Oryzias latipes: one gene and its partners. The main gene of each other region encodes a partner of the protein of the gene in region 4 in a complex. Links are inferred from orthologs where the notes say so. Each region holds a gene or a part of one and is shown on either strand. Other genes may lie near its edges.

The links.
Region 1: stx18 (region 4) and syntaxin-4 share a complex: the UniProt entries of both Homo sapiens proteins name them as parts of the SNARE complex. The link is inferred for Oryzias latipes from reciprocal best matches to the Homo sapiens genes STX18 and STX4.
Region 2: stx18 (region 4) and stx5 share a complex: the UniProt entries of both Homo sapiens proteins name them as parts of the SNARE complex. The link is inferred for Oryzias latipes from reciprocal best matches to the Homo sapiens genes STX18 and STX5.
Region 3: stx18 (region 4) and vti1b share a complex: the UniProt entries of both Homo sapiens proteins name them as parts of the SNARE complex. The link is inferred for Oryzias latipes from reciprocal best matches to the Homo sapiens genes STX18 and VTI1B.
Region 5: stx18 (region 4) and stx7 share a complex: the UniProt entries of both Homo sapiens proteins name them as parts of the SNARE complex. The link is inferred for Oryzias latipes from reciprocal best matches to the Homo sapiens genes STX18 and STX7.
Region 6: stx18 (region 4) and vamp7 share a complex: the UniProt entries of both Homo sapiens proteins name them as parts of the SNARE complex. The link is inferred for Oryzias latipes from reciprocal best matches to the Homo sapiens genes STX18 and VAMP7.
Region 7: stx18 (region 4) and bet1l share a complex: the UniProt entries of both Homo sapiens proteins name them as parts of the SNARE complex. The link is inferred for Oryzias latipes from reciprocal best matches to the Homo sapiens genes STX18 and BET1L.

Annotation. Positions count from the first base shown.
Region 1 is NC_019877.2:19,255,824-19,259,991, forward strand, and holds the start of syntaxin-4, read right to left. Parts: upstream 2,856-4,168; 5' UTR 2,694-2,855; coding exon 2,664-2,693; intron 2,328-2,663; coding exon 2,220-2,327; intron 854-2,219; coding exon 754-853; intron 1-753. UniProt on the Homo sapiens protein: Plasma membrane t-SNARE that mediates docking of transport vesicles. Necessary for the translocation of SLC2A4 from intracellular vesicles to the plasma membrane.
Region 2 is NC_019868.2:11,883,680-11,887,916, reverse strand, and holds the start of stx5 (syntaxin-5), read right to left. Parts: upstream 2,816-4,237; 5' UTR 2,797-2,815; intron 1-2,796. UniProt on the Homo sapiens protein: Mediates endoplasmic reticulum to Golgi transport.
Region 3 is NC_019880.2:1,875,681-1,880,098, reverse strand, and holds the start of vti1b (vesicle transport through interaction with t-SNAREs homolog 1B), read right to left. Parts: upstream 2,913-4,418; 5' UTR 2,705-2,912; coding exon 2,608-2,704; intron 1,683-2,607; exon of another isoform or gene 1,660-1,682; coding exon of another isoform or gene 1,620-1,659; coding exon 1,561-1,619; intron 803-1,560; coding exon 605-802; intron 531-604; coding exon 357-530; intron 1-356. Other genes in the region: retinol dehydrogenase 12, read left to right, coding at 3,952-4,166. UniProt on the Homo sapiens protein: V-SNARE that mediates vesicle transport pathways through interactions with t-SNAREs on the target membrane. These interactions are proposed to mediate aspects of the specificity of vesicle trafficking and to promote fusion of the lipid bilayers.
Region 4 is NC_019863.2:30,760,447-30,764,793, forward strand, and holds the start of stx18 (syntaxin-18), read left to right. Parts: upstream 1-1,545; 5' UTR 1,546-1,561; coding exon 1,562-1,753; intron 1,754-4,347. Other genes in the region: uncharacterized protein LOC101155681, read right to left, coding at 1-177, 719-851, 939-1,227. UniProt on the Homo sapiens protein: Syntaxin that may be involved in targeting and fusion of Golgi-derived retrograde transport vesicles with the ER.
Region 5 is NC_019882.2:21,987,178-21,991,469, reverse strand, and holds the start of stx7 (syntaxin-7), read right to left. Parts: upstream 2,818-4,292; 5' UTR 2,803-2,817; coding exon 2,658-2,802; intron 1,599-2,657; coding exon 1,506-1,598; intron 1,404-1,505; coding exon 1,334-1,403; intron 815-1,333; coding exon 724-814; intron 637-723; coding exon 499-636; intron 1-498. UniProt on the Homo sapiens protein: May be involved in protein trafficking from the plasma membrane to the early endosome (EE) as well as in homotypic fusion of endocytic organelles. Mediates the endocytic trafficking from early endosomes to late endosomes and lysosomes.
Region 6 is NC_019868.2:26,863,141-26,867,210, forward strand, and holds the start of vamp7 (vesicle-associated membrane protein 7), read right to left. Parts: upstream 2,801-4,070; 5' UTR 2,581-2,800; intron 2,186-2,580; 5' UTR 2,151-2,185; coding exon 2,005-2,150; intron 1,898-2,004; coding exon 1,840-1,897; intron 1,715-1,839; coding exon 1,577-1,714; intron 1-1,576. Other genes in the region: DNA-directed RNA polymerases I and III subunit RPAC2, read left to right, coding at 3,264-3,302. UniProt on the Homo sapiens protein: Involved in the targeting and/or fusion of transport vesicles to their target membrane during transport of proteins from the early endosome to the lysosome. Required for heterotypic fusion of late endosomes with lysosomes and homotypic lysosomal fusion.
Region 7 is NC_019864.2:3,554,468-3,557,327, reverse strand, and holds the end of bet1l (BET1-like protein), read right to left. Parts: intron 1,165-2,860; coding exon 997-1,164; 3' UTR 624-996; downstream 1-623. UniProt on the Homo sapiens protein: Vesicle SNARE required for targeting and fusion of retrograde transport vesicles with the Golgi complex. Required for the integrity of the Golgi complex.

The DNA of each region.
Region 1 (4,168 bases), on a different chromosome or scaffold from region 4:
TGTAAGATGTGTGGAAATCTACGAAATACCACTAAAGTTAGCTGCATCAGTTCAACACATTTACCACAAAAAAAAAAGAAACAACAAAAAAGGAGAAGAGAAAGAAGAAGGGTGTGTTGAAAATGTCAAAATAATTGTCCTCTTTTTTATGATTTATTTTTGTCTTGATACTGTGAGTAAACGTTAGGATTTAAAGACAGAGAGAAGGGAGGAATTTATGTTTGTATTTCTTATTTCTTTCACAGCTCCAGCAGAGACATTTTGGACGGTACAAACAAGTTGTGGGCTCCTGCCATGTGTTTGGCCCAAAACAAACCAAAGTACAAGGAGATATTCATAAAAATGTTTTTAAAAAATTGTTTTTTATTATTATATTCCTTTCATTTTTGACCACCTTTGTGTGCTAAAGTATCTGCCACTGAGAAAAATCACTAAATCAGGAGTTGATTGATCAGCAGAGAAGCATCAGACACCCTCATGAAAGGAGCTCCCTTAATTGCATTTTGGAAGAAGACGACAAAGAAAAACATGTTCACTGCGATCCAATAGAGAAAACTAATCTGTAACATATTTGGTGCCCTCATTGAGCCTAAAAATCTGATTGGAAAGGCGCCCCCAACTAGCCCCGCCTTACTCTGGTGGGATCCCTGTGAAAAATCTGGAGAAACGTCGTTCTAATCCTAAAGTGCAACTACACTGATCCTCTGTTACAAAATGCAACACGAATTTATCAAATTCATAAAGTTGACGTACTCTCCTCTGGCAGCGCCACGCCCAGCACCGTCTTCTGTTTGTTCTCCAGCTCTGACACCATCCTCTTTAAGTTCTGCAACCCCTCGTGGATTTCTTGCACCTTAGAAAGAAGTTTGTAAAGTTTTAGGATTAACAGGCAAAATCATCTTCCCAGACAAACAGCTTTAACTGCAACTGTAACATCCTGACCTTTTTTGATCAGAAAACTTCAATTAATGGGTTGGGAAATGCAGTGTTTGTATAAAAAAAAAAGAAATCCAAGGAAATATTAGAACAAAGATCCCTCTGCTGACTCTTATTTTAGAATCTTCTCAAGGTTTATAGATCATAATGGATCCTTGACTTTAAATAAAATCCATAACTGCCTTGACTTTATGATTTCATCTCTCTTTACTTAGTTTATTTTGATTTCCTCACAAATGGTTTGGATTGAAAGACATGCTCAGAAACTTTTGCCATCTTGATGGTATCTGACTCCAGCCTCCCTCAAAGAAAAACATCTGAATTTTAAAAATATAAAGAAATTTGGAGAAAATAGAAACACCATTATTACAAACCAACACCTTTGAACATGTTTCATTTAACTGATACAAAAAGTATCCTAAGATTTTCTAATGTGAGAAAAAAGTCAGTTGGATAAACAACTGTGTGTTATTGTTGGTGTCCGTCTGACTCTTTCACTCAGCCAAACTAAAATAAAAACCTGAAAAGAGGATTTCTGTTGCTAAAGCCCTTTTATTGTTTGGGGGGGGGGAAATGCTTAGCATAGAAATTATTTTTTCCAAACAATTAAAGTTCAATCAAAACTTAAAAAACCTAAAAAGTTAAACCGTGATAATATATGGAAATGCTTCTCTTTACTTCTTTCTGTTTTAATGTTTCTCTTCTAGATCATTATAACTACAGTTTGCAACAAGTTGAACATCATGATCATAATTTATAGCAGCTTCTATGACACTTTATTTAAACTTTCTTTTCAGAGATTTTCAAAATAAAACATGGCATTTCTTTCCCCTCACTGTAAAAGTAATGCTGCTTTCGTGGACAGTTGGTAAACTGTAGCATCAAATAATAAGTGGAGGTCTTACACACTAAAGATGGCTACAATCAACTAAAATGTCAAAACTTTATGGACATCTGCATTTTTCCACTAAAAGTCTTTTATTTATATTGTTAAGTGCAGCCCTACATACAGGCCAGTGTTTGTTGTCCGTTAATGTTTCACTCATATTTAAAGCTTCATAGTTGACCTTTTATATTTATTTACTTTCCTTTTGTTCTGGGATTAGAGGAGAATTTAATGTCGGCAAAACAATTGTGTGTGTTACAGCTAAACCTTCAGCTCTGTCCTCTGTCTCATAAACATGAAGCAGAGGCCCATTGGAGGAGCATTTCCCAGGACATCCGGTATCTGATAATACTACAAATCATTTGGAGGAGCCCAGATCGAAAACTTGGATGATCACCTTTTTGAAAAAAGCCTCATTCTCCTTATCTTCCTTTGTTGAAGAGCTGCCAGGTTTGCTCATCAAAGCCGTTTTCTCCTCGTTCTCCTCATCTGAGGCCTCGGCTTTCTGCGGTGAGGTGGACAGAAACACACAAGAGGAGGATGAAACAGAGCTGTGTGAAGGTGCCGGTTCAGATCTGCAGCCGGGAGCCCTGCCCTTATCCCGGCCTGACAGCTTCCTTGGAGGAAGAACTCAAGCGGACGTTAGCAAAGCAATATCGCCACAAGTGCTTCCAAGCGTAGAAAATAAGGGGGGGGGGGGGGTATATTGTTTTGCTCTCATATGCGGGCTTACAGTTAATAAATAATCAGAGACCGAAGCATTTCAAAGTTCACTTAAACAATCAATACAGCTAGGTTAGCAAGCTAACGCTATTGCTAACACACCAACTTTAAAACTTACATTATCTAACTCTTTTGTTCGATCCCGCATTTTTGATGTCGATGTTCAGAGTTGGTGTCGGAAACGCTGCGAGCACGCGGCCGAGGAAGGACAACGGTTCCCAAGCAACAAAAGCTGCGGACTTTCCACTGCTGTCATTCAGCAAGTTTAACTCCAGAGCAACAGTTCTCACAGTTCTTCCTCTGCGGTTCAAACAAACAGAATTTAATCGATGGCGCCCCCTTGTGACAGACACCTTTACTACAGGCAACAAAACCTGCTTTGGTTTAATTCAATTGGAATAGCCAGAACCATACTATATTTGTACGACGGAGTATTAGAATTGACAGAGTATTACTATATTACTTATGATTATATACTATTATTTTATATTACTATTGACAATAAGAATAAATAGCAAATATGATTATGAAATTATAATATAAATATGAGAACGAAGTCGTAAAATTGTGGGGAAAAAGTCAACATTTACCAAAAATAAAGTTGAAAATGTATTATTTAAAAAGGAAAAAGTCATGTTTTTTTAAATTAAGGTTATAACTTCATGAAACTAAAGTTGTGCAATTACAAAAAAGAAAACAAAAAAGAAAAAATCATAATCAAAGTGATAGATATTCATCAAATTTCTCTGCAACATCATTTAAACAGGAACCATTTAATTGTCATAGTTGAAAATTTTTAAAAACTAAATTTAACACTTTACTTAAGAAAAAAAGCATGACATCTCTTTGAAAATTGCAAGTTTTTACAGTTTAAACATATGACTTTATTCTTGAAAATTGTAAAATTTCTTTTTGATAATTGCATGACGTTTTTGTAGTAATTGTTTTCTTAGTTCTTCTAAAATGTAAACTTTTTGTATTTTACACCTTTTTTCATATATAAATGTTAATTTTTCTGCTTTTATAGTGGCCATAATACTTTGTTGTTCATTTGACATATGAACAAAATAATATGAATCAAACATTTTGTCAAATTAAAAATTAAAACAAGAGTTAAAATAAGAGTGAACAGAGATAATACCCAGCAACAATCTCTCTCCACTCTTTCACATATTCTGTCGCCTCCTCTTTTATTAAGTTTTTTGGGAATTCCCTAAATTACACATGCGCTGAGCTCTAAGGAGTGGAAGACAGATTGAACACAACTGCAGCGCCATCAGAAAATATTAATTGCAACATGTCCATCTTATCACAGTCTCCCCACATCATCTTTGGACCTGCAAAGCCTTTTCTCACGGATAACTGACACAGAGCGTCCTTTGATTCCGGTCTTGACACAGATACCACATAGTTCTCATGCTGATCTTGGGAAGACGCTAAGATAGTCGGTTTCCTCCCAAGAGTTTCACCTTCACCTTCCTGTGAAACAGAACTTGGACACAAACACTTCTGCATGTATGATTATATTACCTATAGAGCTAGGTAATACATAAAAGCAAATATGAGATAACTTACCGGTATATACATTTTTCTAACACATATATTAAATCTTATTGCTTTACT
Region 2 (4,237 bases), on a different chromosome or scaffold from region 4:
AGTTCCAGTTTAAACATAGTTTTTTTTTTTTTACTTTGCTGTATGTAGCTAAAACAATTTTATTTCTGCAAAGCATTTTTAATTTCCCTTGTTTGCATAAAACGATATGCAAATGAAATTGCCTTGCTTTACATGTGTTGTATAAGGCCTAAGTCATGTTTTTGTGGCATTTTTCTAATGCTGAAGAACATATCAAAAGAAAATTCTGCTTAAAATCGCATTTTTGAGTACTTCTTAATTCAAATGTGAACCAGGAGGTGATGAAAACATACCACTGGAAAAAGCTTGTAGTTGTGCTACAATCAGCAGGCCACAAGCTTCCAGCTCTGGTCCATTCTGATGCGTCCACTTGCAGATAACTATATACAAGTGCGTCTTTGGCTTCCTCAACTGAGCTGACATCTGGCTCTGCAGAAACCATGTTCCAGAAAACAACGTTGGTTTTTTTGGGGGCTAAAAACGGCATAATCATAATTAAAATACCACTGGGAACCCTTTTACAATAGATCAAAAGATGATTGGAGTGGGACTTTAAAAGTGCAGAAAATGTAAACAACACAAAGAACCAAGTTATAAAAACATTCATTATCTTAATGGATCAAAATTATTTTGGTCCTCTCCTTGGTATTCTTCAGACATGACTTGAAGTTCAACACGTGTTCTCAAATACATGTTATGACATGTTTGTGATTTCTATATACTTTTTAGGCCTTTAAAATAGCATTAAAATAAACAATAAAACATATAAATAAAACAATAAAAAATAATAGGGACCCAGTTCACTTTACTTATTTCGAGTTAAGAAAGCATTGAGTTAAGGGACACGTTTCAAACGTTATGTTTATCCATTTCTTTGTAACGGTCCAATAAGTAGTGGGGCCTAAACACAAGCTTTGTTTTTGTATTTTTTCTAAGACGTTTATAAAAAAATAGGTGTCATATTTATTACTAATACGTTGGTGGTGCTGGCGTAGTTGTTGCCATTCTCATCTCACAGGGAGAAGGCTCTGGGTCAAAACCCTGCTGCACCTTTTTGTGTGGAGTGTGCATGTTCTCCTCGTTTATGCGTAGGTTTCTTCTGATTTCTTCCCACAGTTTAAAGTCATGCTTCGTAGGTCAATTGGTGGTTATTAATAGTCCCTTGGGTGTGAACGTTTGTAGTTGTTTGTCTCCGTGTTGCCCTGCTATGGACTGGAAAACTGTCCAGGATGTACTCTACCTTCCCTCCTCAGTGGTTGGGTAGACGATGGCATTGAACAGGAATAAGTGGATTTAGAGACTAATTGGCTATATTTGGTAATTTTAGTAATCTCAGCAATTTCTGAGATGCATCCTGGCAGTAGAATGTGTGTATAAGTTTTACATATTAAATGAAGTTCCAATAAGTATGTCAAGGATGCATTTACAAAAAGTTGTAAATATGACTTCATGTTTTTGTTCTTATGCCCTTTCAAACAAAATGTCTTTCTAATTGGCAAAACACTGATAATGAAATAAAAATAAGAAATATAAAAGCAAACCTCATGTACCAATGACATGAAATTTTATAATTGAAAGACCCATTTTGAATCTTTCCCAGCAAAAAGACAGAACAGACATTTGGACAAGGACAGGATGGGCTGCTTCCTCAGGTGATTCAACACTCAGGTACAGCATGGAAAGAGAAAGATACGATCTTGCTGCTCTCTGATGTTCTCAACCTCCTGCTGGTACCTGCATCCTTTTTCTGACAGGCCCAAGCATGCTCAGACCACAAGTATGCCTCCAGCCCCAGATCCCCAGCCTTCCACCCGTCTGAACCCTGTACCGTCGTACCTTCCCTTATCCGTTCCATCATATGTCACACCTTTCTTTAAACCACTCAGAAAATCTCCCTTTGTGTGCTTTTTGGATTGTTTTATGGTATTAAATAGTATATATGTCAATAATATGTCAGAAAAAATGATTGAGCCTAACTTTTATATCAGTATTCGTCCAATAATTATATAGTAGTCAGTTGTGCTTCACATTAAAGACCCACTCCAATAAAAATCCTGATTTGGGTGTTTTTAACATGTTCTTGTGGCGTTTTTTTGACATCTATGAAGAAAATTAAGATCAAAACTGCATTTCTGAGTGTTTCTTTATTCAAATCGTTATGAATCAGGAGCAGATAAAACAAATGCTGTTGGAAAAAGCTTGAAGCAGTGACATAGGTGCTACAATTGGCAGGCCACAAGCTCTGAGCTCCTCTCTATTCTGATGCATCCACTTGTAGACGACTAGATCTATTTCCGCCTTCATTTTCCTTGTATGAGCTGAGATCTGGCTCAAAACTGTACGGCAGGATAGTTTCGATATTGCTCGCCATTTTTGTTGCATCTGTAATGTTAGGTTGGGGTTCTGAGGGGCTGTAGGCTAGTGGGAGAGAGTGTAAACAAAGGGATGATGTCAGGGCAGGCTTACTTCATGCCAACAGTCCTGCCAAAAGCTCAGAGGTGAATTTTAGTGAACTCCTTGTCATGGGGCCTCTGTCAGCTATCTTCCCCCTCCCCTCTCTGCTTGGCCACTGATTCGTCCCAGCTGCGTTCACTCATCTCATCAACCTGCCAGACCTACTTAAGGAGCGCCAGGACCAGAATTCAACGCTAGTTCGTTGCCCCTGATGGTGCTTGTCTGGTCTCTTTCAAGTTTTCCTGTTACGTATCTTTACCCTCGTCTAAACTCTAGTCTTTCTATGTCCAGGACCTACATATCCCACGAGTGGACGCCAGCTTCAGCTTCAGCCCAAGCGGAGTTATCCCCGGAGTTACCTACCTCCTCTCAACGCTCCATACATCAGGCCTCAGCTCTGGCCTCAGCCGAACCTCCAGCCACGTCAAGATCCACCCTCTCATCTGGAGTTGCCGTTCCTGCCATTCCCCGCCACAACAGGACAAATTCATCCGCTGGAAAAATTAAATCTATTATTTACCTTCACTCACCTCCTGTCTTCCTTCTGGGTTTCAGCGTCTGGGTCTGTCTAGCTTTGACAAGTCATGACAGAACGAACAACTAGCCAAAACCCCGACCCAGCTGGCCCGGAAGATTTACAAAATATTGTCTCCCAACAAGGTCGGTTCCTGGAACTCCTCTCCAGTGCGGTCACCCGCGTCACTACAGTCCAAGAGGACACGATCTCTCGCATCAGAGGTATGAACCAAACGCTTTCCGAGCTAACCGAGCGACATGCTAACCCTGCTATAGGAGCTTCTACTCCGTCTTCCGGCAACAATGCAGCTTCCGCTTCCGGTCCTGTCAACTCACCCGAAAACTTCCGGTTACAGCCTGAACCGTTCCTAGGCAACGTAGAAGCCTGTGGCGGGTTCTTACTTCAATGCCAACTCATATTCCAGCAGGCTCCCAGGCATTATCACTCTGATATCAGTAAAATCACCCTTATAATAAATTTTCTCCGGAAGAAAGCTCTTCGGTGGGCTCAAGCCTTTGTTTCTGCTAACCCTATTAGTCACCTTCGCTATGAACACTTCCTAAACGAATTCCGTTTGATTTTTGACCAACCCCGTAAACGGGAAGAAGCCACACGTAAATTACTTAACCTGAAACAACACAACCGGACTGTTAGTGAGCACGTCATTGACTCCGCATTCTGGCGGTCGAAGCAGGCTGGCCAGATCTGGCTTTAAAGGGCATTTTTTATCAATCTTTGAATGAAGAAATTAAAGACCATCTCTGTACTCAGCCTGAAACTAACTCCTTTGAAGAGCTCGTTTCAGCAGCCCTCCGCTCGGACATCCGACTCACCGAGCGACGTCATGATCGCCAACAGACCCCGAAGAAAACCATCAGCGATCCGGCCCCTTCTACCATCACAGCCCAGTCGCCCCTCAGAATGGATTTTCTCGCAAGCTCCAAACCATCTGAGGGACCTATACAGAGATCATTCTAAACTATCTGCAGAAGAACGACAGAGGCGAAAAGAGGAGGGTTCATGTTTTTATTGTGGAGCCCATGGACATTTAGTTTCACAGTGCACTCTGCGTTTAAATTCCCAAAACCCCCCGCTGAGTGACAGGTCACGGGGGGGCAACCTCAGCACTCAGGAAAATCAAAGCTTCCTGTGCATTCCTGTCAGAATATGCTGTAAAACCCAAACTCATGCTTTCAGGGCACTTATAGATTCTGGAGCCGAACAGAGCCTAATTGATCATGGTCTGGTGTCTAAACTCGGTCTTCCCACAGAACCTCTGGAAGCTCC
Region 3 (4,418 bases), on a different chromosome or scaffold from region 4:
GGAGGAAAGGAGGAGGAGGAACACGAGGAGGAGGAGGACAAAGAGGAGGAGGAGAAGGAAAGGAGGAGAAGGAAAGGAGGAGGAGGAAAGGAGGAGGAGGAGGAGGAGGAGGAGGAGGAAGAGGAAGAGGAGGAGGAAGAGGAAGAGAAGGAGAAGGAGGAAAGGAGGAGGAGGAGGAAAGGAGGAGGAGGAACACGAGGAGGAGGAAGAAGAGGAGGACAAAGAGGAGGAGGAGAAGGAAAGGAGGAGGAGGAAAGGAGCAGGAGGACAAAGAGGAGGAGGAGAAGGAAAGGAGGAGAAGGAAAGGAGGAGGAGGAAAGGAGGAGGAGGAAAGGAGGAGGAGGCGGCGGCCTCACTCTGTCTCTGGTTCGGTCCAGCTGCTCCCTCTGCCCCCCCAGCTCTTCGATGATGTCTGTACCGATCTGCTCCGTCTCCACGGCGATGCGCTGGCTGCGCTCGATGCTCTGCGTGGCGTTGTTCAGGTAGTCCGTCCCCTGAAGCAGCAGCGACCTCTGCGACTGCAGGTGTGTCTGCACCCCCCAGGGACAAACAGGAAGTCAGGAGGTTTCCAGAACACCTGTGAGGCGTGAAGGTCCACACTCACACTCTGCTGGTTCTCGGGTGAATAGAGGCCCTGGCGGTCGCCGTGAGACGTCAGGGGGGCGGGGCCGAAGCCGGGAGCAAAGGTTTTCATGTCCCTCTGCAGTTTGCCGATGTCTCTGCGGTACAGACGCAGCTTGGTGCTCATGGCGTTTCTGTAGGACGCCGGCGCCGCACGGAGCTCGTCCTCCATGCCCTGCAACTGTGAGAGAAAATCCAAGTCCATTTGATCAAAAAGATGGATTTTAGCGTCTGAAACGACTATAGAAACGCCGACAAGGTTCAAGAAAAATGGAATTATTAACTCTTCAGTTAAAAAAGAAATTACACCTGAGACATGGCAACCATTAATGGATTATTTCTATAGACAAGTCAACCTCTACTTGAACATTTAATTGTAAAATCTGCAGGGTATTTGTTTGTTTTGTTGTTCTTTGCTTTTCTTTTTTTTGGTATTGTTTGCTGTAAAAAATAAAAATAAAAAAGAGGGGAAAAAACAATAAAACATTTTTTTCTTTTATTTCAAATGAATGAAAAGAACAAAAAGAAATTTAAAATAGAAAACTAAACTTAAAGCTGCATGCAAACCATGTAACCATAATCACACTGTTCATTTCAAATAAATGTAAAAACAGTATGAAAAAAAGAAATTAAAGGTTAATCAGCTGATAAACGCACAATGACTTCATGTGAAACTAGAAGCTCGTTTTCCCTCCAACAGGAAGAGATGAACAAAATTTGATCAAATATTCTTATTTTTGTGTGTGAAACGCAACCAAATATTTGAACTTTGACTTCAAGTCTTCGCTGGTTCTTGACTGTAGCACCAAAAACCCCAGTTTGATTTTTTCAAAGCCTTTTTTAAAAATTAATATTTAATAATGAATGTGCCATCTGTTGTGTTTAACCGCAAAATGACTCCATGAATGTGAGCCGTCAGGAAGGAGGACATCTGCTTACCACCTCCTCAGCCTCTCCCTGCCGCTCATCGAAGCTCCTCACCAGCCTCTTCCTCTCCTCTGCAGACCAGAGCACACAGGTTACAGAGGCTCCTTCCATCCATCCATCCTTTCAAACACCCACTGCCATGAAAACGATGGGGGACATGTATAACATGTAGCTTATAACTGCCTTTCTGAGTAATTCTTTATTCAAATCGTTGTGAATCGGGAGCGGACGGAAAAAAAAGCAGTTTGAAAAACGTATATTTGCGATGTGTTGCACCTGTAACGTCAGGTTGAGGGTGTGAGAGGCTGTAAGCAGGAGAGCGTGTAAACAGACGGGTGACGGGAAGTGGGGGTGGGCTTACTCCTGCCGACAGTCCCGCCCACAACTCTGACGCAAATTTCTAACAAACTGCTGTCCTAGAAAACGACACAGCTTCTTGGCTAAATAAAAAAAAACATGATCATAATTTAAGACGACTTTGGAAATAGATCAAAAGATGATCAGAGTGAGATTTTGTTAGTTTTATTCATTCATAACCCAGGAGACGTACAGTAAATAATAAAGACCATTACCTTGTACATCAATTATAAACACCAGAGGGATAAATATACAAAAATAAAGTTATATGAAATGACAAACCTGAGCAAAATGACAAGTATGAATTGCTTCTTTGTTTGTATTGGGGGAAATGGATTGTTAGTAAAATCTAATTTAAGTCGATCAATCAAAACAATTGGGAGCTTTATTGCTAAATTTAGTTTTGTGAATAAAATACTTAGTAAAATCAGGAGATTCGTTAAATCAAATTAAGACGAATGTTTATTATCATAATTAATGAAACCAAATAAGATGTTTTTTCCATGCAAGTCCCAAAAAATATGCATCAACAACGTTTCCTCAAATGAAAACAGAAAGAACAGTTTTTCTGTTTTTAGCCTTTGCATAAACTGATTTGTTGGATGAAACCTATGAATGATCTTGAATGAAACCTCTTTCACTTTGTTTTTTAGTGAGATTTTAAGAACACAATGAGCAACAAAGAACATGATCCTCGTTTACCTCCGTGACATTTCGCGGCTCTGTCAGGAATTAACTTCAGCTCCTCGTACAAAGATCTGTAGATTTCCTGCAACTTCTCGAATTCCTCCGACGACATTTCTCAGGGATCAACCCGGATAGTTCCTCCTGAATACAGTTATTATTGCTCCTCCTGAATATAGATATATTCAAGAGTCTTAAAAGGTTTTTTTGTAGGTGGAAAGGTTAAGATAATCTGTTTGTTTTGCTTCCTTCATCATCAGAACCCGGGATTCTTCCGCATGATGGTCCTCGTGACCAAAAGGACTAAAATTCCGTAAAAGAATGAAATAATCGGTTGTGTTTTACACATTTAAAAATTAAAATAGTGTTAAAGATACCATTTTAAATTTATTTTTTATGAACTGTATCACACAATATTGCTTATCGGAATTTTAAAAGGGAAAAGAGTAAAGATTTCTAGTCAGGCAGTTAAATAGACACCTAACATTGGCTCCAGGGGAAATTGGGAAGTGTAGTTTATTGATTTCGTTAAACAGAAGAGTTCTAAATTGAATCTTTAGTTACAAGAAAGAAAATGTTTTGATTTAAATTTATGTGTACAATTAAAATTAAATTAGATGCGATTTCTATAATTCAATTTTTGCAACTGATTCAAATAGGCCTACTGGTATATGTGTTACTCAACTTACTATTATTTTAATAAATAAAAGGATATTTGTAAAAATAAAATAAAACCTTCACTACAAATTGAGTTTTTGTGCTGAAAATGCATTTTTAGTTTTTAAAAAGTTAATATTATTTGAATGTTTTATCTTATTTTGTTCGAGGACAACGTATAATAATGCAATAGATATTCTAAATAAATGTTATACAGAAATAACCAGAGGCAGCTTTCAGTTTTATGAAGTGATAACGGCAACTTAAATGGTAATTGATTCTAGTGATAATAATAATAATTGTTCAAATGATAATAAATCATATAAATGTATATACATTTATTTAAATTTTTTTTGCAAAATATAAGGCTGTGGGAGGATTTAGATTTAGCTGTTGTGTTTATATGTTTTTGTCTTTTTTTCCAATTTCTTTTACAAAATTCAATCTACAATAATTGACATTTTTCCATGTTTTACTTCGAATTCTGGCATTACATTTCTTAAATTAAACTATAGTTTTGTATTCCTTTATAATGAACCGTTTCTCACTCATCCTTTACGATTTTTCTTACTGTTTTTTAAACACATTTAGTTTGTATATATATCTTTTGGCATTCATTCTAATCTTTCCTGCTGCTACGTGAAATTAAAAAACAACATTTTTTTTGTATTTGACCTCCAATGTAAAGGACTACAAAACACAACAATGACTACAATCCCACAATCCTTTGCACGTGCGCTCTCGGTGCCGCTGCGCCCCTCCAGCCCTGACATCAGCTGCTCAGCCCCGCTCTGCCCACACATCCCTGACGTCCGGCCGGAGGCAGAGGCCCGTGGAAGCGCTCAGATGTGGGTCTTGGTGATCATCGCGGGGATCGGGGTGGTGACGCTGCTGCTGCTGCTGTTCGCTCCGCACATACGGTGAGCTGCAGCGGGGACCCGCTGTCCCCCCATCGCGGTACCTGCACTGCTGTGACGTCATCAGCACGGAGGCTGGCTTTGCTTTTTAACCCCAGAGGTGTTTATTTGAGTCAGCCGCTTTGATTTCGGTGTGAGTTTTGTCTCAAATCCGCTAAACGGTGACGGAATTTTGAGTGAATCAGAAAAACGTTTGAGCACCGGGATGAGGCGGCCGCCTTCCGTCTGAGCTGCTCGGGCCTATCAGGTGCCCGC
Region 4 (4,347 bases):
ACATCCTCATGTCTCGCTGGGGAGGTGGGAATCTTTGTTGAAGCCGTTTTATAGTCTGGAGTGATGGTTTGATCTGGATCTGGATCTGGATCTGGATCCGGATCTGAAAGTTCTACCTCTATCAGCGCCTGCTTGCTCGTGCTCTCCTCTGTTGTTGAATTTCCATCTTCAGCATAGCTGCAGGATGAAGCAGAAGATATTCAATGATCAATTTAGAGTTAATTCCAAAATTAACACATATAAAAAGAAAATTACACTTCAATTCGAAACTCCAATCCTCTTTTGATCTATTTTCATAGCGTTATTATCTATTAATTATGATTTTGCCGTTTTTAGCCTAAATCAGAAAACGTGTGTCGTTGACTAGGACATAGTTTCTGCAGAGCAGCATGAGTTAATTTGAAATTCCCCTTCCCATCACACCTTTGTTTACACACTCTTTTGCTAGCTTACAGCCCCTCACACCCCCAACCTAACAGTCGTACAGTTTTGAGCCAGATTCCGGCTTGGACGTACATGGATATATTTATCTCCAAGTGGATGCATCTCTCATCTTTCTAAGTAGGAGAACTTGCACAATTGGTGGCTGACTGAATACTTTTTTTTTTTGCCCCACTGTATGTCCTCCATCATGAAAAAAATACCACAAGAACATGTAAAAAACTCGCACAAACATGATTTTCATCCTTAAAGAAATAGGGGGGGGAAAAAGTGTTGCCTGTTTTCTGGATTTTCCGCTGGATCTGCGTCACGAAGTTTCTTCTGTTCCTGCATCTTCTTCTCCGAGATGTTCAACACAGAAATAACTATCTGTGTCACGGCACTAAGTTTCTCAAATAACATCTCTTCTTCTGCAACATTAAAAAAACAAAAGTTTGCTATTAGTCAGAAATGCACAATGTTACTAAACTTAAAAAAGAAAATGCATGTTTCCTGACCTTTGTTACTCTGTCGTTTTATCTCCTCCCTTGCCTTCGCAAGGAGGTTTTCCCACTTTTTGTTGCAGTCGGAAACTGTGCGCTGGACCTGTGGAAAAGCATCATTAATAGCTTGGACTATCTCCTTCCAGGCATGCCTCTTGTCTTGAACCGATACTCCGGTGCTTTGCTTTCCTCTGACTATGTTCTGCTTTTTCTGTATTAACTGAGCCAGAAGAAGGCATTCCGGGTCAGTCCAGTTGGGTCTTCTCTTTCTGCTGGTGGAGCCCTTCACTGGCTGTGGAGGCATTTGTCTGCGAGGAAAACACATAAAACAACCATTAATAGAACGTATTAAACAAAATAGAAACTCATGAAAACCCTTAGATTTTTCTCAAAATGATATTCCCCTTAACGCTTCTAAAACCCTATAATTTCAGATTAGTCCTTTTCTGTTATTGTTTTTCCATTATATACAACCTAATTCAAAGTGAAACAGTCAAATGTTGAGTTTTGGTTAAGTTCCGTGTTGATTTAATGGGAAATCAAATCCTAATCGGTGCAAACCTGTTTAAGGCTTTTCCTTTTTCCCCTTTGAGGGAAAAATCCGCTGCGGCGTCTCATGTTGATGACGTCACCGGTCGATGACGTGTCGCCTTGTTGACAGCGGCGCGTGCACAGAAATGGCTGTGGACATCACTCTGCTTTTTAAAGCCAGCGTGAAGACAGTGAAGACCAGAAACAAGGCGATAGGGATCGGGTTCGACTCGACGAAAGATGAGATTTTCAAAAGAAGCAGAACGAAGAGCGGCTTCACCCAGAGAGCGAAAGAAGTGGTGAGTGCTCCTCTTAGCTAGCGATAGCATGATGATGATGATGATGATGCTAGCTCATTTGAAACGATAAAACTTCTCTACAAACATTGCCTTTTATATGACAAATGTACACACCACTACTTTTTCTTTTAAAAACGTATAAGTACAACCATTGTTGGCTGTTTTTAAGTCGTTTAGTACCCCAACTGTTTAATTTTAAAAAAGTTGCTGCTTTTAAATTAATACCTCATAAAAAACATAAACTTGACCTAATTTTTTTTAATCTACAGACTTTGCTGTGCAATTACTGGAAATGTGAGCATTAATGAATGTAGCACTAGTTTTTCCCTAAAAGACTACACGTTTTTTAGATGAACGTAGTTGAAAAAAAAATCTTGAGCGATTGATTGATGTTATTAACAGACTAACTACCCTGTAAAAAATACTATAGCTAAGATACAGATTTCATATAAAATAATATTAATTTGAAATCTTCATCAATTATATACATGTAATTAATTTTAAATACATATCTGTGTACCTGTATGCCTGTTATGATGATTGATAAAAGTGGAAAATCTAATGTTTCAGAGGACGATTAGTCATTTTGTTGCATTCAAATAACAAATAAATGTTTACATTTGTTTCCTTATGGGAGCTTGAAATCATTAACACCTGCAACAATAAAATAATTTCCTGCAATGAACGCACCAACACAGTGTTTGTGTCCGAATTCCCACCCTAACCCCTAACTACTGCAAAACTATATAGTGACCTGAATTTTCAAAGCAATTCGGTCACCATGCTCACTACTGGAAATTCAACTGGTTAAACAATTTTACACTTAATCGCAGTCCTGCAACCAATCTGAGACTCGGATTTAGTAGTGACATGAGGGTGGCGTCCGCCACGGAAGTACCAACCGTTGTAAACATGATTTCGAAGGAGACAATAATATTTGCGGTTTGTGTTCGGACTCCAAGACGGACATTTACAGGAACAAAGCTGTGAAAACAAAACGTCTGGAGCAAGATTTGCGGGATTTTCACAGCTTTCACTTTGCACACTGAGCCTCTTCCTATTACAGGTGGTAGACAACAGTAAATACGCAGAAGAAGAAGAAGAATCTTCTCCCTTTCGCTACCTGCATGTCTGCTGCTTTTCCCATGTGGACAGTTAACAGTCGACATCGTTGAATATCAAGCTTGTCTACTTCAGCTTTAAAAGAGTCATAAAAAAGAGCTAATTTTGACTTTCCCTTACGAAAAAATCTGAGACGGAATTTATTAAAAATTATTTTCTCAATGCATTCATTCATCTTCTAATCTGTTTGATCCCTTTCGGGGTCACGGGGCTGCCAGAGCCTATCCCGGCGTCTTGCGGCCGAAGGCAGAGGACACCCTGGACAGGTCGCCAGTCTGTCACAGGGCCTCAACCACTCACCCATGCACACGCACGTTCACACCTATGGACAATTTGGAGGGACCAATTAAGCATGTTTTTAGATGGCGGGAGGAAGCCAGAGTCCCCGGAGAAAACCCACACATGCACGGGGAGAACATGCAAACTCTACACAGAAAGGTCCCCCATTGGTGTTCTGTTTCTGGTCCCCCAGCCGGGACTTGAACCAGGACTTCTTGCTGTGAGGCAAGAGCGCTATTATTTTCTTAAAGCAAATAAATAAAATATCATAAATTTCAGAAGGCCTGAGCAGCTGCGGCTGCTCTCTCATCTGCCCCCCCGTCAGCCTCCTGGGGGTCGGTGCAGTGGGTGGGGTCACTTCAGCCCCATGGGCCCTGCAACAGACTGGCAACCTGTCCAGGGTGTGCCTCACCTTAGCCCAACAATAACCAGAATGTGCTCTGGCAACCCTGCAGCCCCAAAAGCGATGTAGCGTGATAAGCAAATGGATGGTAGATCAGGACAAGGCCGCTTGGACCGATCCTCCACAGTGGATTTTTACTCCACCCCTTAACACATCAAATGGGTGAAGTGACACCTCAACCTCGCCAAAAGTCAGATTTTTTTTTTTACTCTGGATGCGCCACAACACCCAAATCGTGCTGCGACACTCAAAACGCACTGCTGCCGGTCTGCCTCGCTGCGCCTGACGCTACAATCACGCTGCCGGACCTCAGATCAAGTCTGTACATTGGCTTAACATTGTATGTCGCCCCCATTATAATTGCGTTCGGTGTGATAACCATCTTCAGAGTTATGGGTCTTTGAATCCAAATTCTGGATGTTCTAGACTTGGTGTAGGTCAGTAAAGAACACAGAAGGCGGAGGAAGTTGACAGCATGCTGAACATAAACTTTTCTCCAAATTTCCAGCTATAGATTAATATTCCGATAAAGACTAGTTTTTGGTGAAGAGTTTAGAAGACATCAGTGTGCACCCGTTTTTCACAGGGCAACACGGCCTTTGCTCTGCCCCAGCAGTTATTTATCTGACTTAAGCAGATGTCTTCAAATAAAACCTTGAAGAACCACTTTCACATTTCCCACGGGGGAGTAAAATCTTAAATGTCACCAACCATCAGCCTGAAGACGACATGAGAAGATCTGCACCAGCCACGTTTTGGTCGTGTACTTTTGTAGCGGCATTAAATACGG
Region 5 (4,292 bases), on a different chromosome or scaffold from region 4:
ACCGTATCCACAACAAGGACAATGCCTGTTCTTACTTTATGGAGATGTTTGAATGCCAGCAAGAACCACAACCATCAATGAATCAACATAAAGAGATCTGCCCCCCAACCAGCGGAAGGCTCATGCTGGGTCTGGAACAGGCTGGGACAGGTGCATCTGCTCACCTGACCATCTGAAACATTTCCTCACAGCGCTCACACTCACCCACTCCATCCTGAACACGCCTATAAACCCAGACACACTGTCACTGGAAGAAGCTTTTCTCATTTCCTCAGCTGGAGGGTTTCATCTGAATAACCTGTCTACGTCTGAACGTTCAGCCAAACTCTGAGCAGATGGTACATTATGGCCCAGAACAGCTGAAACCGGGAAACCATGGCAGTGTTGTTCAGAAAGAACCCGGATGGTCCTGGTTGTGGAACGTGTGAGTATGAGGTGAGCGTGCACGGAAAGCTCTCGCTCACAGCACTCCCAGAAATGACGAAGGCGAATACGAACCGACAGCCTGGAGCCAGCTCGGACTCGGGCCACGAACTCCCGCTCCTTGTCGGCGGCCTGCCGTTGGGTCTTCTGGAAACTGTTCAACGCAGCAGAGAAGTCATTGAGCAAACGCTCCTTCTGCAGCTTCCTCTGCCTCTGAAAACACAAACACAGCTGATCAATTCCCACAAACTCCTGACCGGGTTCGATGTGATCGGTGCGTGGGACGAAGGGGCCTCGTACCTGATCGGGACCGACGGGGAGGGCGGTGAAGGCCTTGATCAGCTGGTCGGTCTCCTTGGCCAGCTGGTTCCCCTGCTGCTGTTTCTGCTGACTGAGAACCAGAGGGAAGCATCTGTGAAACGTTTCACTCGAGGAAACAGAAATCTTACAAATCCATTACTCCTGACGTGGAAAATGCTCGGGTTTCAGGAGCTAGCTGAGTACAGAGTAAAAAAAAACTATTCTAAAGGTTGAAAACTACTTTTTGAACCTTAAACCCACTGAATGGAACTGTTTTAAAACAGGGACAAATGATCCCATTCAAGTAAAACACTGTTATAAGAATAGAACTTACTTTAGTAACAACCTGCATCTCCAATGTGTGTATATGAACATGTATGTGTTTAGAACATCTTTTTAAAGTTATCTTTCTGTTTTGATGAATGAATTAGATGCTAAAATAATAAAGACAGTCTGCTTCCTGCCATTCAGGAGTCTTTACAAATGAACTGACTGAAGGAACAAGGGAAACGTATGTGTGTGTGTGCATGGTGACCGTCCACAGACAGGCCGGCTGTCGGTTTGAACTCATTTGGCTGCATGTGTGATCAAGCAGGCGGTCAGAACTCACAGCGTCTGTCTGAGCTGGCTGCTGTCCTGCTCCGTCCCCAGCAGGGTCACGGCCCTCTGCAGCTCTGAGGCTGGAACACAGATCCATGAGTGAGGATGCTGGGGGTCCAGTGGGGTTCAGCATGTGCACAGGTCTGTGTGGGTGTGTGTGTGTGTGTGTGTGTGTGCATTACTCAGTAGTGTGATCCTCTGGATGTTGGAGCTGATGTTCTGAACCAAAGCGGCGGGCTCCCGTTGAATCCCAGCCTGGTAGGCCATGATGAGAGCTGAGTTCACACAGAAAGACACATTTATGTCTTGCTTTCATACAAACTGCATGTTTAACCTTTAAAGTCCCCCAACCATCATCTTATGATCTATTGTCAAAGTGTTCCCAGCGGTCTTTTCACTACGATTCTGCTGTTTTTAGACTAAATCAGAAAACGTTGTCGTTTTCTAGGACATAGTTTCTGCGGACTGGGAGTAATTCATTAGAAATTCCCCTCTAAGGTGTGGGCGGGACTGTTGGCGAAAAGCACAACACCCCCCCTTCCCGTCATCCATCTTTTTACAACTCTCCCCTGCTAGCTTACAGCCCCTCACAACCTCAAGCTAATATTAGTGATGCAACAAAAATGGTGATCAACATCAGATCTATCATCCGTCCAGTTCTGATCCAGATTCCAGGTCAGACCAGGAAGACAAAGACGTTCACGGATCTGTTTGTCTGACAGATCAGAATAGAGCAGAGCAGGGAGCTGGTGACCTGCTGATTGTAGTTTACGTAACAACTAAGAGGTTTTTCAAACAGCATTTTTTCTTCTGCTCCTGATTCACAACGATTTGAAGAAAGAAATACTCAGAAATGCAGTTTTAAGCTTGATTTTCTATATATATGTATGTCCTCCATCATTAGAAAATGCTACAAGAACATGTAAAAACACCACAAACACCATTTTCATTGGAGTAGGTTTTTAACTAGCAGGACGGGTGCTGGCAAAACCCAAACCCAAAACTGTTGTCAATCAGGAGCAGACAAAAAAAGACTGTGATGAAGACTAGTGATGTAGAAAATACTCTGGCCAGGCCAAAGTGTCCCTGCCCTGCTCCATTCTGATGCCCCCACCTGCAGACAAATAGATCCATGGACAGCTCCAATATTGAGCAGCATTCTTGTGGTGCCGCTAAAGCTATGGATGACGGGAAGTGAAGGTGGGCTTACTCTGTACCAACAGGATCAGGAGGGAAAACTACACCATCATCAGCGTTTGTCTGACATAAGCATCAACAGTCTGAGGTCAAACCAACGTTTTGATAACAAATGGAGATGATGGAAACTTCCTCACAGCTTTGAGTGATGGAGGCAGTGAAAACACAAAGAAGGAAAGTTGCTTTTCCTCTCAGAACAAATCCTGAAACTCTGAAACGCTGAAGGTCAGAACCAAAGAGCTGCTGCAGCAAACACCAGCCCAGCTGACCCCTGACCCCCATCCATGCTGGACCAACGTGGGCTCATGCCCAGTCTGCTCTGATCGGGGGCCAGTTGGGGGGGGGGGGGGGGGGCGTTGACGCGGGTCAGGCAGTTGCTCACGCGCGTTTCCGGGACCAGCGGCGCTCCAGCGTCTGCTATGATGACGCGTTTTTAGGACCCCGTCAAGACCCCCTCCGCCGTGCGTTACGGGGCAGCCTGCCGCCTGCAGCGGTCGGTCGGTGGGGCTGCAGTCTTTCCAGCAGCCGCAAATGCGGAAATCAGAGGACTTTCTCGGAACACCACGGTCTGTGTCCTTCCGTGACGGCTGCTCTCTCCCGGAGTTTCTGTTTATAAAACCCCGAACTTTAAGCGTCAACGTGACGTTTAGCTCATGAAACTACCGGTCTCTACACAACTGCCCCCCCACCCGCCCCCAGCCCGGTTCGGGACATCTCGCCGTTTGTCCTCAGAAAGTGAAGCGCTCCGAAACCCGCGGTAGGATTTTGGATCGAGACCAAAACCTGCTCTAGAACGGTTCGGTTCGTTTCTGGGATCGTTTGGACTTTACCTGCGCTGAGACTTGGAGCTGCGCCGTTTCCTGACTCGCAGCCACTCCCCGGTCACATGACGCGCACGGCCCGGCCCCGCTGGAGCCAAGAGCCGCAGGAGCCGCAGGGGCCAGGGGACACTCCCACCAAAGACTGGAGACAAGGCTTCAGGGTTCTGCTGCGCCCCGGTCCTTTAGGATGGAAACGAGTCAACTCCACAAAAACAAGTCATAACATTAACAATAAAGGACTAAAACATAGTTTCAGCGCGCTGGAGCAAAATGATGTTTATTCAAAAAATATGACAGAGTCTGAAGGCCACATATTTGAGAAGGAGGGGGGAAAGGAGACAGAGGTGGAGGTCTTCCTCATGTTAAGGTTTTCCTCATGTTGAGGTCTTCTTCAGGTGGAGGTCTTCCTCATGTTGAGGTTTTCCTCAGGTGGAGGTCTTCCTCAGGTGGAGGTCTTCCTCATGTTGAGGTTTTCCTCAGGTGGAGGTCTTCCTCAGGTGGAGGTCTTCTTCAGGAGGAGGTATCCCTCAGGTGGAGGTCTTCCTCATGTTGAGGTCTTCTTCAGGAGGAGGTCTTCCTCAGGTGGAGGTCTTCTTCAGGTGGAGGCCTTCCTCAGGTGGAGGTCTTCTTCAGGTGGAGGTCTTCCTCAGGTGGAGGTCCCCTGCAGTTCTCTCCCCTTTGGACCCTTCGTCTCCACTCAGTAGAGGAGTGGAAATCTGGATCACAGACATAGGAGGAAGCAGGACATGAACCTGAAGCGTCGTGGAAGCAGCAGCAGGTCTGTAGGAGGCAGCAGGTGTTTATCCACATATAGAATATATATCTTTGCACTATCTTTTTCCAAACTGGCAGATCAATGACATATTTGTATTCGTCAACAGCAACATGCAACTGTGTTGTATTACAGACTCATTCTTGCTCTGTAGCTGGAATATGTGGAAGGGCGCTCAT
Region 6 (4,070 bases), on a different chromosome or scaffold from region 4:
CCTCATAAGATGTGTCTGAGATTATTCTCTGTAATATTTACAGAGATATTTTGCCACAAGCCACTTTGTAAAAAGATCTGTGGCTGTTAGAATGAACCTGCTGCTCCACACGAGTGAACCGTGTCTCTGAGCAGAGCAGCTGGAGTCTCGTAGCTTCGTGTTCGCAGGCTGGGAAGCTGCTTTGTTATAGTGTGCGGTCCGGAGAAGAGTTCAGAACGCAGTCTGTTCAGCTGCAATGCAGTTAATAATAATAATATTTAGGGCTACATGTCATGAGGAAAACTTAATATTGCGGTGACGATGTAACTTGGGGTGTAGGAAAACAACCAAAAACATCATTTCTATTTCACTGCAACAGTTTAAAAACTGCATTGCAAATGACCAACATCTACATAGGAGACGAACATCTAACACAAAAGGGCTCCATCCGATTGGTCAAAAACATAAAAGGGATTATTTTTGCTTCGTTAAATACTGCCATCAGATTGTTTTAGCATACTTAAGGTAACCATTTATTGCGATCTTCGCCGTCTTTTGCAATATGCATATTGCACAGCTTGATATTGCGATAACGATAAATTTGCGATATATTGTGCAGGCCTAATCATAATATTACCAAAAGCACGTTTAGAAGATAATCTTTCTCTGTGTCGGAGCTCTGTATGTTTACAACGGACCGCATAATATCTTCTTCTATGTTAGTATCGTAATTTATCCAGACCAATCACTATCTGATATTGCGATGACGATATAACTTGTGGTGTATGAACAAAGAGCAAAACAACCTAAAACATCATTTCTATTTCACTGCAACAGTTTAAAAACTGCACGTGATCGGACCAACAGACATCCAATCACATAATGTGACGTCAGCACTCTTCGAAGGACCCCGAACGGTTATTGCAGGCCGAATGGTTATGGTACCTACACCCCACAGGAACACTGAAAATCTGCACTCATTTTTCCTTTAAAAACAAAAAAAAACTTTTTACTCCTTCGACCATATCACTTCGATATTTGGTGGAAAATAAAGGACAATGTTTTTTTTAACACTAACACTGGAAAACCCTTGCTAATAATACATTAGAGGTTCAGATATTTGTCTGTCCTCAAATACCAAACATCCCTAAAACAGCACTTCCATGAAAATTCTTAATAAAGACAGATAATTGTATCTCTATGCTGCACAGGTCAGGAAAATGTTCAGATATAATTCAAATGATACAGATTCAAATGCAGCAGACAAAGGTTGACTTTAAAACGTACTTAAAATGCCAGAGTGGTCATGTGACCATCTGCTGATCTTTTTGTACATGCCACGATTGTAGAGAAGGAAGTTGAAACCCATTTGTCAATATGTTGACTATACAAAGCTGAAATTGACATGAAAAGGGTTTTTTTTAAAGAAAAAGGACGTTTTTAACTACTCTGGGGGAAAAACGAAACTAAAACCAAAAGAAATAGGAAAAAAAATAGAAGAAGTTTGCTTTTCTGGTTATGACTAAAGCAAAAGTCTTTTTCTTCTTCTAAAAAAAGTCATATGGCATTCTAAGGAAATCTGTCACGCTCAACCCACCATCTGAGCCGCCAGCGTTGAGGAGAATTCACTGTTCATGGCGTAGGGAAGGGCGGTTTGAGCTCTGGAGCCATACGTCGTCTGGAAGCGCTTCTTGACTTCGCCAAGAAAGGTAAATGCACGAGATCTTTCAAAGTCCTTTAACAGAAAACATTCAATCACGATAAATGCAACTACACGTATTTAAAGCTTTGTGCCAGTGTCACATCCTTCCCAACTATTGCTGAACATCAAAACAAAATAAAAAGTCCAAAGATACTCACATCATCAGTGATGCACAAGTATATGATTCTGTCATGGCAGATGTAATGAAAGAGGTAACTGAAAACAAAATAGAAACACCATCAGTTACACGTTCCCAGAAACTAGCCCTGATTGTGGGCAAAATAATGACAATTATTGAGATGAAGGAGCAAACTGGACCGTACCTGCCGTGGCTGTAGGTCAGTTTGTTATTCTCTGAGGGGATTTTGGCTAAAATTTGTTCTGTGACTTCCAGGAAGTTGCCCCCGCACCAAGCATGTTTGGCCAAAATCGTGGTTCCACGAGCCACCACAGCAAACAGGATTGCCATGGTAACACAGCTGGGTTCTCCGCTACGTTAGTTTTCTGTCAAATAAACAAGGAAAGGAATAAGCTTTTTGTTGTTGTTGTTTTTTGGTAGGTGGAGCTCAGGTAAAACAAAAATGCCCCCACCCGCCTTCCCTCCCTCCCACCGGAATTCCGTTAAGATGAGTTAGAAAGAAAAGGAAAAAAATTGTGTATTGTAGACAAAAAAATACTAAAAACGATTACACCCAACATCCCTATGCGTGTTATTGTGGTATAAATCATTGGGAAAAACAAAGACTGATTCGGCAGCAAGCTAGCGTAGTAAGTAATGTTGAAATAAACACGGAACAGTGGTGGCGTCAACGAAAAGACCAAAATGTTAATCAAAGTGTCAGTTCAAGTTTTTGTTTGTAAGTTAAACGTTGTTGCAAAAAAACAAAACAAAACGATACCTTAACGTGTCAGCGCCACTCAAACGAGCTAATTATTTTCCCACATTTATAATGTGTCAGCTGCTAGCAAGCTAGCTAATCCCTTTCGAGTGACTTCTGCTTTGCGGATCCTTTGGACCGGAAGCACACACTGACCAACGCTGGGTAATGTAGTTCTTTTTTGCAATTTCTTTCACAGTGAATGCTGCTCTTCTACCATTCTGAACTACACTTCCCTAAACTACAAATGACGATGTGTCTTCGTCATATGTTTTCATGCGTAAGAGCAACTGTTTAGGAATTCCCCTCAGTTTAGCCTTAAAGGCTACGATTACACGCTAAATTGAATGCATTTGCAAATTAAATGTTAAGGAATGTTACTTTTTAGCGCAGTGAAAGGTAGTACTTCATCACCAACCTAATTTAAGTTCGATCCGTTTATCTTTTCTTAATTGCATGTTTTGTATGTCTATGTTTAACAAAATTTATTTGTGTCATCACTTCAAATCGACATATCTCTTTATGGCAGACTAAATAAAACATTTATTCTTAGGGTTGTAGTCGGAATAAATGTCCAACCAAGCGGGTTCAGTTATTAATGAATAATAACAGCATGGCGACACTTTCATTTTCAGCCTGTAAGTCAAAAATAAAGGGGAAGAAACACAAAGCTCATACTTTGCAGTGCGAGCGACGTGAAAAGCATGGCCGGGGATGGCGAGAAGAAACCCAAACTGGAAATGGTAAAATAAGAAAATGTCGTTTTGTTTGATCAGTTATTTAGATACTTAACTGTATATTGGTTAAAGTTTGTGTAGGTGAAATATATAATAACACATCGAAGAAGCTAATGCTAGCTTTCTCCACCGCCCGGCTGCAGACTTCACGTGGAAGATGAAGTGTCTGTTCATAAGAAAATCCCTTTTACTCGTATATAAACATTTTTTGTTAATTTATATTACTTAAAAAGAAACCAAAATCATGTTTTATTTGATAAAACTGAGCTTATATTTTAGTGTGTTACTACATGTCATTGTTTACTTGGTCAAAATCCTGCGATGTCTTTTATCCCCACTAGGGGGCAGTATTTTAAAACAAGCAGTGTTTACTTAAGATTTGTGAACTAAAATGTACTTAAACGTTAAAAATATATATATTATAGTCCCACAAGTCCCTACTAAACAACTGATTTTTGTTTTTTGTAATTTATATTAAAATAAAAAAGTTAAACGTCCATAGTCTCAAAGATCACTAAAACAGAGAAACAATATTCATGGAGTACAAATTAATGTATGTAAACACTGTTGTAGGAGGAATATGGCTCTCAATTGTATTTTTTTCAGCAACAAACCCACTAAAATGTTTCAAGATTCACTTATAGTGGTCTACAGAAGGATGATAATAATAAGCGACAGCTCAAAAACAAGGGTAAAAACCTCTAAAAGAACAGCACCAGCAAAAATAAAGCCACAAATCCCGACTACAACCCAACAGGAGCCACAAAGTCCTAC
Region 7 (2,860 bases), on a different chromosome or scaffold from region 4:
ACAGGAAACATGAGGAAAATTAAGATTAAAATCGAGTATTTCCTTTACTCAAATCATTGGGAATCAGATCAAAACAATCAGCTGGAAAAGATTGTATTTAATATGTAAAAAATCCACTGAGCAGCTCTCCATTCAGATTCATCCACTGTCAGACAAATACATCCATGAACTTTTGTTTTCTGGATGCAAACTGTACAGCTGGATAGCTGCAATATTGCTCGCCATTTTTTGTTGCACCAGTAATGTTAGAACGGGAGTGTGTGCGCCAACAGCCCCGCCCACGACTCAGAGGTTGATTTCTGATGAACTCCTGGCGCTCTGCAGAAACTATGTCCTTGAAAATGACACAGGCTTTTTGATTTTGGCTGAAAACCGCATCATCATAAAAGACCACGGGTAACACCTTTACAATAGACCAAAAGGTGATCGGAGTGGGACTTCAACTCGTTTGACAAAAACTGATAAAAATAAATGTGTGCAAGAAGAACAGAGAGAGAGAAAAACAAATATTTCCAAAGGAATTTAGGACAATAAAAAAACAGCTGATACCTTTTTCACTATTCTGGACTTTCCTTCTCTGCAGTGATATCATGCGTAATCTTTAACTAATAATAATAAAGTGCTTCAGTTGTTGTAGATTTTTAATGGAGACATAGTCTGGGGTCACTTGTATGTAACTGTCAGCATCATTGACATGTGATGCCAATTTATAATTTTTTGTTTGGCTCAGAAACTTTGACTTCCCCTGTGCTGCAGAGCTGATCTTTTCTTGTGAGGTGTCCCCAAGTTGGAACAAGAAGGGTTTTAGTGAAGGTAAGGTTTTTGTTTCCACAACATCAGTGGAGTTCTCTACACCTCTCTGATTATCAGTCTGGCGTTCCTTCCATTGGGGATTCGAAGAAAACTCCTCTTCCTTGCATGTAAACTTGGATCTATACTCTATAGATTCAGCTTCACATCATCCGTAGGTCTCTGGCTGAGAAGGTTTTTCTGAAATCACCGCTGGATCCTGGAAACCAGGTAGTAGAGCATGAAGAAGATGAGAACCAGCCCCAAGGAAACGTAGCAGAGGAGGCGGCGGTTGTCTCTGCCGGATCGAACCATTGTGGAGAAACGCTTCACGCTTCCGGTCAGCAGCCCTGTTGCACTCATCATATTTGAGTCCTGAAAGAGGGAGAAGAAGTTAGTTGTTGTTGCTGGAAGTCTTTGAATCTTAATTATTTGGTGACCAGCTAAACCATTTCAGAAGTAGGGTTAGGAAATATGACCAAAATGTCTCGTTTTATATCCCAGTATCAATATTCTGCAAAATCCGATTTTGTCTGTAAATTCAATAAACAAATAGTTTAAATAAAGTTGTGCAGTAAAGTGCAGTTTGACAGTTATGCAGTATTAAACAAAGTTAGTTGGAACTTAATCTTTATTTTATTTAGAACCTGTTTTCAATCAAGATCTTTAACTTATGCTATTAGAATATTTAACGTGTACGAGTGCACACTGTAACGGTGTCTGAACCTTTTTGAGTGCTTATGTCATCACTCTATGCTGCGGCTCTAGCTCATACACTGTGTTTTTTGTCGTAGTTCTATCGTTGCTGATTAAATAGGTTTGTTGTGTTGGAAGGGAGTCACAATATTTACAAAACCCCGTCGTCTGGTCCCAGTCAGTCTTATATCCAAACCACATCCCTGGGACAGAAGTCGTTTCAGTCTTAAGGGCCGTACACACCGGGACGAATATTCGCCAGGCGTTATTCGCCAGCGTCTTTCGCCACGTCTTTTGTGTTCACACCCAGGCGATTTTCGCTGACGATGAGCCGAGCGAACATGCAATTTCATTCCCTGACATTAAATGGCGCTTAATGTAAACAGAAATACTCCTGTACACAAGGTGGCGCTGCGCAACTTTACGCTTCTTAAAGTCGCTTTTCACTCAGAAGAAGAGAGCAAGTATTTACGCGTTTTTCAGAATCATACAAAGAAAACATGAATATTTCAAGCACCAGTTGCTCCAACTGGTGCTTGGTTCGGGGATATTTTAGAATGTCCGTCATTATTTCTTCGCGGCAGTGTAGACGCTACTTGGCGTCTATCTTCTTCGCTGGTATGTGTGCTCAGCAAGGCAGTTTTGTGTTTGAGCGCCCCCAAGTTGTGTTTTACTGTAATTTCAGAAGCTCCAGACACGTGTGCAAAAGCGCCATTCTCATTGGTCGAATAGTTTGACGCGCGGCGAGGCCCGTACAAAAAAAAGAACCCGAGGCGTTTTTTTAAAACATGACGCTTTGACGCGTGGCGTTTTTTCGCGTCGGTGTGCACACTCACATTGGTGCCCTTTGTTTAATCACGAGGCGTTAAACGTCGGCGAATATCGCGGGCGAAATTCGTCCCGGTGTGTACGGGCCTTTAGATTTGGGTTGGGTAGTCGTTTGGTTTAGAGTAACTCCGGCTGAAACGCATCTGCTACCATCTTCCGCCAGTTTTGTTTGTATGGTAGAATAAGGTGGATTTGGATGTTAAATGGAACCAGAAAGAGCTTTTCCATGCCGTAAAGGATGTAGACATTTTCTATACGAGGCTAAACCTAACTTTCTTTAGGGTGTATTCAGACTTAAAAAATTCTTTGTTCCGGATCGAGTCCCAAACCTTGTGTTTGGTCTGTATTCAAACTTTCATCAAGCAGACCATTCTGTTCCAGACCAAAGCTTGTAAACAAAACCATGTGACTAAAGATCTCTTCAGTCATTGGCCAGGAACTACGAGGACGGGTCAAAGCAACAAGAGAAAGACGGACGTGCTGCACTTTACAATCCGTATTGAGACTGTTAACGTAACCCTTGTGCTATCCTAGGCACTTTACCATT